Linked DNA regions of Tribolium castaneum. The protein of the gene in region 1 interacts with the protein of each later gene in a pairwise test. Links are inferred from orthologs where the notes say so. Each region holds a gene or a part of one and is shown on either strand. Other genes may lie near its edges.

Region 1 (4,615 bases):
TAAAATATCAAGCTTTATTGTGCTAAATGCATTCTTTTGAAAAAGTTTGTTTTATAAAAAAGTTTTATAAAGTTTAACTCGGTGAATCAGTTATTTCTTAAAAGCAATTTGAAAAAAAAAGTTTCCTTCGAGCCGGATTTGAACCAGCGACCTATGGATGTCCACTTTTAAGATCCTCTACAGTCCACCGCTCTACCAACTGAGCTATCGAAGGTTGATTTTACAGATGACTGTTGTTCTTCTACTAGTTGAAATATTGTTAAAACATTTGATTATTTGATTTTAAATTATCTTTTAATAAATAAAACTATATGAGTAAGCTAATATAATACGGCAGTCACAGGCATTAAATAGTATTACAACAGCAAAAACTTATCTTATCTGTTGCATTCACAAGCAATCAATAAAATTAATAAAATAATATTGTAAAAACATATTTTCGACCATTTGGTTTTATCGGATATAAATACTATTTCGGGAAAAATTAGTAAATATTGTAAAAATACACGACTAGAAAAAAGAAAAAAATTTGGCCGCCCGAGCAGGGACTTGAACCCTGGACCCTTGGATTAAAAGTCCAATGCTCTACCGACTGAGCTACCCGGGCTTGTACTTAACAAGCCCCCTCAGTCCTAGTCCTCCAAAATCTTTCCGCAACAACCACAAGTTATTAAAATTTTGAATTCAACAATAATTACCGAAAAGTGTTGAGTTTTTCCATAGCTTTACCCACCACCGTCTTCTTCAGCGGCGTCGGACTCGTCCCCGGCGTGCTATTAGCCGAATTGAGTTTTTCATCGGCCACAAGGGCCCTAGCCAGTTGCATGTCGCTCTCGTTCATATTTCTTACCGACACGACAAAATCACAAAACCAATTACCACTTACAGCACACCTAACATTTGTTAAGATCAAGGTAAATGAAAAATCATAATCGCAAGTACGGCCCTGACCTAAATGATAAATAAGCGCGCTTTTGTCTCGGTTAGGGTCAGGTTTCCTCTTAGGGTCACTTATTTTTGTTGTTCTGAAACCGTCCGCGAAGAACTTTCGACAAGAACTGACAGAACTTGCCTTTAACGAGTCGACTCTGGCATTTTTTCTTTTAAATTAAATCGACGACGGCAAATAAATTAATATAAAAATCTAGTCCATGCACCGCTCCGAGCGGTCGGGTTATGAAATTGACGGTGAAAAACGACTATTATTATCTCAGCGAGGTGTTTTCCTGCTGTAGGCCCGCGGGGACTGCAAAAAAAATATGCGCCCAAACAATTTTATTATAATGCAATTAAATTAAAAGAAAAATTGTGACAAAAAAACATAACACAGATGAATAAGAATTTCCACATAAGACCAAACATTATTATAAATAGTTTAGATTTTTGAACATTTGTTTTTGAAAATTCATAAATGTTAGGTCACTTTGGTCGCTAGTGTCGCTACTTTCTGGCACAGTTGGTACCGAGAACACAGGCAAAAATTTCCGAAATTGGAGCCATTTATTTAAGCAGTACATTTTTTACATAAATTTGTTATACACTGATGGTTGTAATCTGGTCTATTGTGTCTCTTATCTCTTCCTCATTATCTAAATACTTTTTTGGTGAATTATTTATGTTGGAGACATTCCCGAGTGATAAGGCGAAGGTTGGTCTACCTGCCTGGCTCCATCAGCTGTCAAAAATGGAGGAGTTACAGCTGTCAGAAACTTTACAACGATATTTTTCCGACGTTTTTCTTTGTTGTGACGAGGAAAAATCCGGGAGCGCCTCCTTGACCAAAACCGTCGAATTAATCAAGTCGGGCAACGTGCCCGAAGACATCATATCCCAAGTGAGTGGTTTTCTCACTCTCTAACCTCACATTCTGACATTTCTCCTGTCAGATTTCAGAGATCTGTTGGGGCCAAACCACGACCAGTTTGTCTAGGAAGCAATTTTTTTCCGCTTTGAAATTAGTCGCCGCCTATCAGGCCAACATGCCGTTAAATGCCGACGTAGTCACTTCCAATTTGGAGTTGCCTTTGCCCAGGTTTACTTGGAATAATTTGGAGAGTGATTCACAAGTTCCTGATTTAATCGAACTGAGAAACGATGCCAATTATGTTGAACAAGTCGATGCGAACAGCACCGACTCGGAAGTCGATAGTGATACGCTTAGTATAGTTAGGAATGGGTCGCCCGAAATTTCCAGCACCGCCTCTGATAGCCCCACGCCCACGAATAGTGTGCAGGACAGGAGCTGGGCCATCGGGGGGGCCTGGCAGGGGCTGGTCTCCGAAGAACAAAGACAGCTCTTGGGTGAGTCGTGGAATGAAATAATGAAGCATTGTTTCGTTAAAACAATAAATCAACGGATTTTTGTTTAGTAAACAGGCAGGTGTCGCCGAATTGACTAGCTATTGAGTTATTAATGCGTCGTGTGACGGCATTTGCATTCATCAATTCATTTTGAAATTGTTGACATTACGTTCACTTTTCCAAAAATGGTGGCTCTTAATAAATTTTGTTTAATTAATGTAGTGACGCTTGCGACATATTTCAACGCGTGGTACACATTATTTTTGGTCAATAAACAAACAATTCGGAAACATAATTAAAGAATTAACGACTCGGAAAGTCGTAAATTTGATTGCTTTTGAGTATGTTCTACATCCAGTGATACAAGTTGTTGTTTTATCAATTTTCATTTAATTCATTACGCAGATAATTGTGAGTTTTTTTCTACAAAGGTCTTACACTATTAGCAATATTTTTTTTATTTCCCTTGTTTAGGGACGGAGGAGGAGTCGAGCGATCGGCACAGCAGCGAGGAGGACACGGAAGTGAGCCCCGAGATCTGGACGATCAACCCCGAACAGCGCGACTACTACACGAAACAATTCCGCTCCCTCCAGCCCGACACCAACGCCTTACTCGCCGGTCCCGTCGCCCGCATGTTTTTCGAAAAATCGCGCCTTCCAGTCCACGAGCTCCGCAAAATCTGGCAGCTGGCCGACGTGACCAAAGACGGCGCCCTCAGCCTCCAGGAGTTCAACACTGCGATGCATCTAGTCGTCTTGCGCCGCAACCACATCGAACTCCCCGACGTCCTGCCGCCCACCCTCATCCCCGGCAACGAAACGCCCCTGTCCGTGAGCCCCGAGACCGAGCCCATGCTCTCCCCCCAAACGAAAGACACCGCCAAAGAGTGGACGAAATTCGTCGACAGCCCCACCAGCTCCGTTAGTTCCCCCGGCCCCAAACCCGTCAACTTCGATTTCCAGAAAATCACACTCGATAAAGACTCGAAAATCTTACACCCAGTCCCGCTTCGAATCACGCCAGAGTGCCCCATGGCGCCCCCGGGCGAAGACTCCGTCGACAATGCGGAAGCGCACAGTCCGAAGAAATTCACCGATAATAGCGCCATCCAGCGGCCGCAGCCGAAAAAAATCAGCATACCGGGCCCTGGGGCGATCCCTCCGCCCCCCACCACGCAAACGGGGGATGAAGGGCCGGTCAGTCTCCCGGTTTTTCCCCCGCCTAAGAAGGAAAAACCGCCCCCGCCTCCGCCCAGACCGTTCAAAAGCCACGGTCGGAGCTCGTCGCTTGATTTGAACCGGTTGAGCAAGTTGGGAGCCCCGCCCACGATCCCGCCCAGAGTCAGTCCCAATATCCAATCGAAGAAGCTGACCAATCAGAAGTCGGAAGGGGACGCCTTTGCCAACTTTGATAGTTTCGAGAAGTATGAAAATGTGGACGAGGGGATTTTTCCGGGTGATTTGTATGAAGCGGAGAGAAAGAAGATTTTTGCGAGGTTTACTGAATTGCCAAGAAAACACGGGGCGTTTGAGGTTTATCGAAAACCGGCCAAGAATCAAGAAGGCGGGCAAGACGAGAAAGCCAAGTGGGAGTTGTTTCAAATGTTGCAGGAGGAGAATACGGTGCTGTTGAGGATTTGTCAAGAGTTGAGTCAAGAACTGGCCGATATTCGGGAAGAGAAAATGACGCTAAAGTTGAGATTAGAAAAACAATTAAGTCTGGGATAGTTGAGATGAATCAAATGCTATTTAAGTTGAATCTCCAGGTATTATTAAGGCCGACAGTGCCATAAACTGCCTAAATTGTTCAATTATGTTTATCATTGAGTGAAAGAATATTTTTTTAATGACGTTATCAAATCATATTTGAAAGAATCTATATGTTGGTCAGATTTAGGTTGTTTATATTATATATGGCTCTATTGCAGCAAAGTCTTATATTTTTTCGTGTAGCTATAGGAAGACTGTATTTTAAGATTAAATAAATACTTTAAAATTATTAGGTTTTAAGGAAAATCGCATTTTCTGCATTACACTTTATTTCCGAATGATAAAAAATAACCTAATCCCTTAATACCACGGTTTCCTTGGTCTCTGAAGCAAGTTTCTTTCTTTTGCAAAAAATACACAAGACGCCATTTTAAAAAAGTTGACAGTTACCATTATTACATAATATGTCATCGCACAGGGAAATTAATAATTTTATCCAACAGACTGTCGATTCCTTTAAGTAAATATGTGATTTGTTATAATTTTTTTTTAAATAAAAAAGCTACAAGGGCGCGAAACCAAAACCCCCGCTATAGTAACAA
Region 2 (4,138 bases), on another chromosome or scaffold:
ACAAGATGAAGCTATGCAACGCAATATTTTTTAAATGTCAGTGGAGACCGTATCGGTTCTATTATTATATAACGTGAATGATTTAGTCATAAAGTTTTGTGTGAGTTTGATGGTTACATTAATCAGTTGTATTGTAATGACTGCGCTATACTTTGTACATACATATGGGCTCACTCCACAATACTTTCATATATAAAATCTAAAAAATAGGCTGTTTCGTTTTCGCTTTAGTGTGTACCAATATATTAAGCATTATGTAGCTGGGCTACACGTATAACTGCTTAGCTGAGATTTCTTAAGGTTGGTTCATTAGAAAACAATACAATCAATGTACGTTTAGTTGAGCTAAGAATGTTTGCACTTTTCATTGAAAATGGCAATCATACGATGGTAAATTTTACTTATTTACTTAAGGTATGCATTTCCCCAAAAAAATTTAGTTGTAATGTTGTTTCAAGACTATAGATAAACGCCACTCGCCAACTCGTTGTTCTAATACCATTTAATGACACAACCACCGTTTCTTTTGTTATTATATTATTGTTTTTTTTTTGCGCGTAGCCTCGATCTAAAGTAGGGACTACTCTTTACGTTGTTACATTGCCGGATTTTCTTTCACTCCTCCCGTAGTAGGGACTACTTTTTACTTTGTTACGTTGCCGGATTTTCTTTCACTCCGCCCGTAGTAGGGACTACTTTTTACTTTGTTACGTTGCCGGATTTTCATTCACTTCTCCCGTAGTAGGGACTACTTTTTACTTTGTTACGTTGCCGGATTTTCTTTCACTCCTCTCGTTTGATCTAGCTTGAGGATATTTATAAGTTGTGTTAGGACCCCTTGACAACTGGTTTAGGGGCAAGACTAGACAAAGGTGTTGTTACTTGAAACTCTGTTTTTATTAATACGACTAAATCCCATTTGTTTTATATTGTTAACAGTTTTAGGTGTCAACTACTCTTGATATATTTTTATAATGACCTTCCCTTTGGTATGTTTATGAAAATGTAAATCATAGGACAGGCAAGGAGTTCTTTTGTATGTGTTTTCGTAATATTGTATTTAGAGTACTAATTCATCATTTTAAGATAGTTGAAAATCTGCTTTTCCGTCTCGCCTGCAACCAACCACGTGCAATCGACAATTGATTGCAGGCGAGACGAAAAAACACATAAATCTTGTGATAATTAAACGTTTTTTTTGCTCAACTCCTTGCAATTTATTACATAGTTAAGTTAGTTTGTAAAGTGTGTTGTGGAAGTGTGGTCAAAGATTTGTCTTCCTGTAACACGTAAAAAAAATTAAAAAAAATTACAAAACTAGCTCGTCTTTTATTTCGAATCTCCCGGTTAAGGCGGCCCTCAACACCAGTTCCTTCAAGAGATGGCAGGGCAAGCACCTGTCATATTACACCACTCAGATGACTTGATTTGTGTTGTTTCTGTTTTATCCCAGCTTAACATGCTTAGCAACAAATTCCCTTGGGAAAATAGTGTCATAATTATTTATTAAAAGTTCAAACCCAACCGTGTCAATATGGATTTTGATAGCCCCGACGTAATGAAGGATTTCCCAGGCTTGTACGCATCCGAATTAAATAAGCAGTGCAATAACGACAGCGACTGTAATAATAAATTAAGTGAACCACTAATTCCCGATTAAAACTCGTTTCTAGATAGTGACGAAAATGAGAAAGTCTTGAAAAAGGACATTCTCATCGGAAAACGCAAAGAGAAGAAGGATAAAGACAAAGGTTATGCCGCTTTAGAAGGCGAAAGTTCAGCTGATGAAAATTTCAAGTCGAGGTAATCACACCTGCAATCACTCAAACCCTCACTGGGATGTTTCAGAAGCCCGTCGAAAACAAAAAAAGCCAAACCGTTCAAATTCTCCACCAAAGCCAAAGAAAAACGGGACAAATCCCGCGAAAAAGAGAAAGATCTCGACAAGAAGAAAGACCGGGATAAGAAGAATGACAAGAAGCAGGACAAGGAGAAAGTCAAGAGTGAGAAAACGAAGAAACTCAAACAGTCAATTGACGAGACCGCTGACATCGGCGGTGAGAACTCTTACATAATGACAATAAAATTGGAATGAATTGTTCGTTCCAGATATTTTACCGATTTTCGGGGCTAGTTTAGACGTGGCTGTTGAGAGGAGCCGGTGCCATGACGGTGTAGACATTCCTTTACCCATTCGGGAATGTATAGACTATGTAGAAACCGTAGGTATGTCGTTCGAAGGCATATACAAAATCAGCGGAACAAAATCAAAAGTTCTCCAAATACGTAAAATGTACAATCAGAGGGGCAATATCAATTTAAATGACTACGACCCTCCAACCGTCACAAGTTTAGTAAAAACCTATTTAAGGTAACCTTTTCTTAGGTGTAACATGATGGGCAAAAACTCTTTGCAGAGATTTACCAGAACCACTTTTTACAAACGACCTTTTAATACGTTTCGAGGAAGCCGGAGCCATCCTTAATCTCAACACTCGCGAAAAACACTTAAAAATTTTAGTGGACCTTTTACCTCCCCACAACAAAACGCTCCTCGGCTGGCTCATCACCCATTTACACAACGTTTCTCTGAATGTGAGTGCCTTAACACCCCAGCCCCCATAGTATAGCGCGTTTCGCAGGAAAAATGCAACAAAATGAACAAACAAGCCATTTCCACAGCCCTCAACCACACCTTCCACTGCTCCTCGCGCCTCCTCCACGCCCTGCTCCACCACTGCCTCGCGCTCTTCCCCACAATCACAATCGCGCGCTACGTGCCCCCTCTCGAGTCCGGGGCCAAGCTCCCCGAGGAGCCCCCCGAGATCGAGACGGAGCTCAAGAAGCAGGAGTCGCTCCTCACCCAGATCCACAAGGAGATGAACGTCTGCTGCATCTCGAAGCAGCGCGAGGAGCTCCTCTGGGAGGTGCAGAGGATCATCACGCAGCTGAAGCGCAAGCTGAAAACGGCGAACCGCGACAAGGAAGCGGTCGAGAAGGTGGAAGCCCCCGAGCCCGAGGCGCAGCCCGAGGAGGCGGCCAGCGAGGAGGAGTCGGAGCTGGACGGCAGCGTCGCGCTGCTGAAGTTCAAGAACGAGGGGCTGCTGCTGCTCAGAGACTCGCTCCTGAAGGACATCCAGGCGGAGCGCGGCCAGATCGCCGTGCTGCGCTCGCAGATCACGGGGGAGGTGCCGCCCGTGGCGATGGTGCCCAACGAGGACCTGGACGAAGTCATGGACCTGTTCCTCAAGGAGAACCAAATTTTGCAAATCAAGAAGATCAACTTGGTCCGCCAGATCATCGAGGAGCAGGAGATGTGCATCGAGCTGAGAGCGCAGATTTTAGCCAAGTCGTAATGTGTCCAGTATTATTGTAACTGTATATAATAAATGTTCAAATTGACGCTGGGTTTAAATTTAGGTAGACTTGACATTGGAGTGGGCCTAAGGTTACGGTATGCAACTAGCAATGCGCCTGAACTAAGCCAACAGGCGGCGCTAGCACTACTTAAGTCGAGTATTTTTACATGTTTTTGTGCGTGTTGTTTTTATTTTTAGTGGGGAGTGAGTTCGTACTGTTTCATGTCCGATATTATTTTAGAATAGGAAGTGGTTGAAGGTGTTTAATTTTTTAATTGTTATTTGTTGGATTTTTACGACCGTCCCTTGTGATGTTTGCTGGCGTTTGGCAAAGTCAATAAATAAGATAAGGAGTTTCGTTAGTGTTTAGTGTGTATACATTGCTCATTTTATTATATTGTTATAAGTCACATTTTGAATCGAAGCCTCAAGGGACCATCTCGTGGTAAGTCTTCTGTGACCCAAAACCCCATTTATGACTCCCACGTCAATAACAATCATAATCAAGTTTGCTCAACTTTTGATTAAATTGTCGACTTTGTTTACACAGATGATTCCGTTTAACCCAGAAACTTCACCAACCCGGAATTTTAGCCCATTCGTCTTCGGCACCCTTTCTTTATCTTATTTATTGTACGAAATGTTTTTAAAAAGATTAGATTATAATAGTATGTAGGTAGTTTACTTTGTTCAGGTCTTCAAGGTTATAATAAGCAACCACGAAAACATTCTTGATTTGTTTAATTTTCGGATTTGAAGCCGTTCCAGTAGCCGAAGAC

Evidence for each region.
Region 2: the proteins of Reps (region 1) and Rlip interact in binary tests that used the Homo sapiens proteins (3 or more experiments, as listed by UniProt). The link is inferred for Tribolium castaneum from reciprocal best matches to the Homo sapiens genes REPS1 and RALBP1.

What each region holds. Positions count from the first base shown.
Region 1 is NC_087399.1:2,782,459-2,787,073, forward strand, and holds Reps (ralBP1-associated Eps domain-containing protein 1), read left to right. Parts: upstream 1-1,631; 5' UTR 1,632-1,684; coding exon 1,685-1,834; intron 1,835-1,886; coding exon 1,887-2,301; intron 2,302-2,775; coding exon 2,776-4,031; 3' UTR 4,032-4,302; downstream 4,303-4,615. UniProt on the Homo sapiens protein: May coordinate the cellular actions of activated EGF receptors and Ral-GTPases.
Region 2 is NC_087403.1:3,536,054-3,540,191, reverse strand, and holds Rlip (ralA-binding protein 1), read left to right. Parts: upstream 1-1,392; 5' UTR 1,393-1,534; coding exon 1,535-1,622; intron 1,623-1,673; coding exon 1,674-1,803; intron 1,804-1,848; coding exon 1,849-2,057; intron 2,058-2,109; coding exon 2,110-2,371; intron 2,372-2,417; coding exon 2,418-2,595; intron 2,596-2,642; coding exon 2,643-3,356; 3' UTR 3,357-3,402; downstream 3,403-4,138. UniProt on the Homo sapiens protein: Multifunctional protein that functions as a downstream effector of RALA and RALB. As a GTPase-activating protein/GAP can inactivate CDC42 and RAC1 by stimulating their GTPase activity.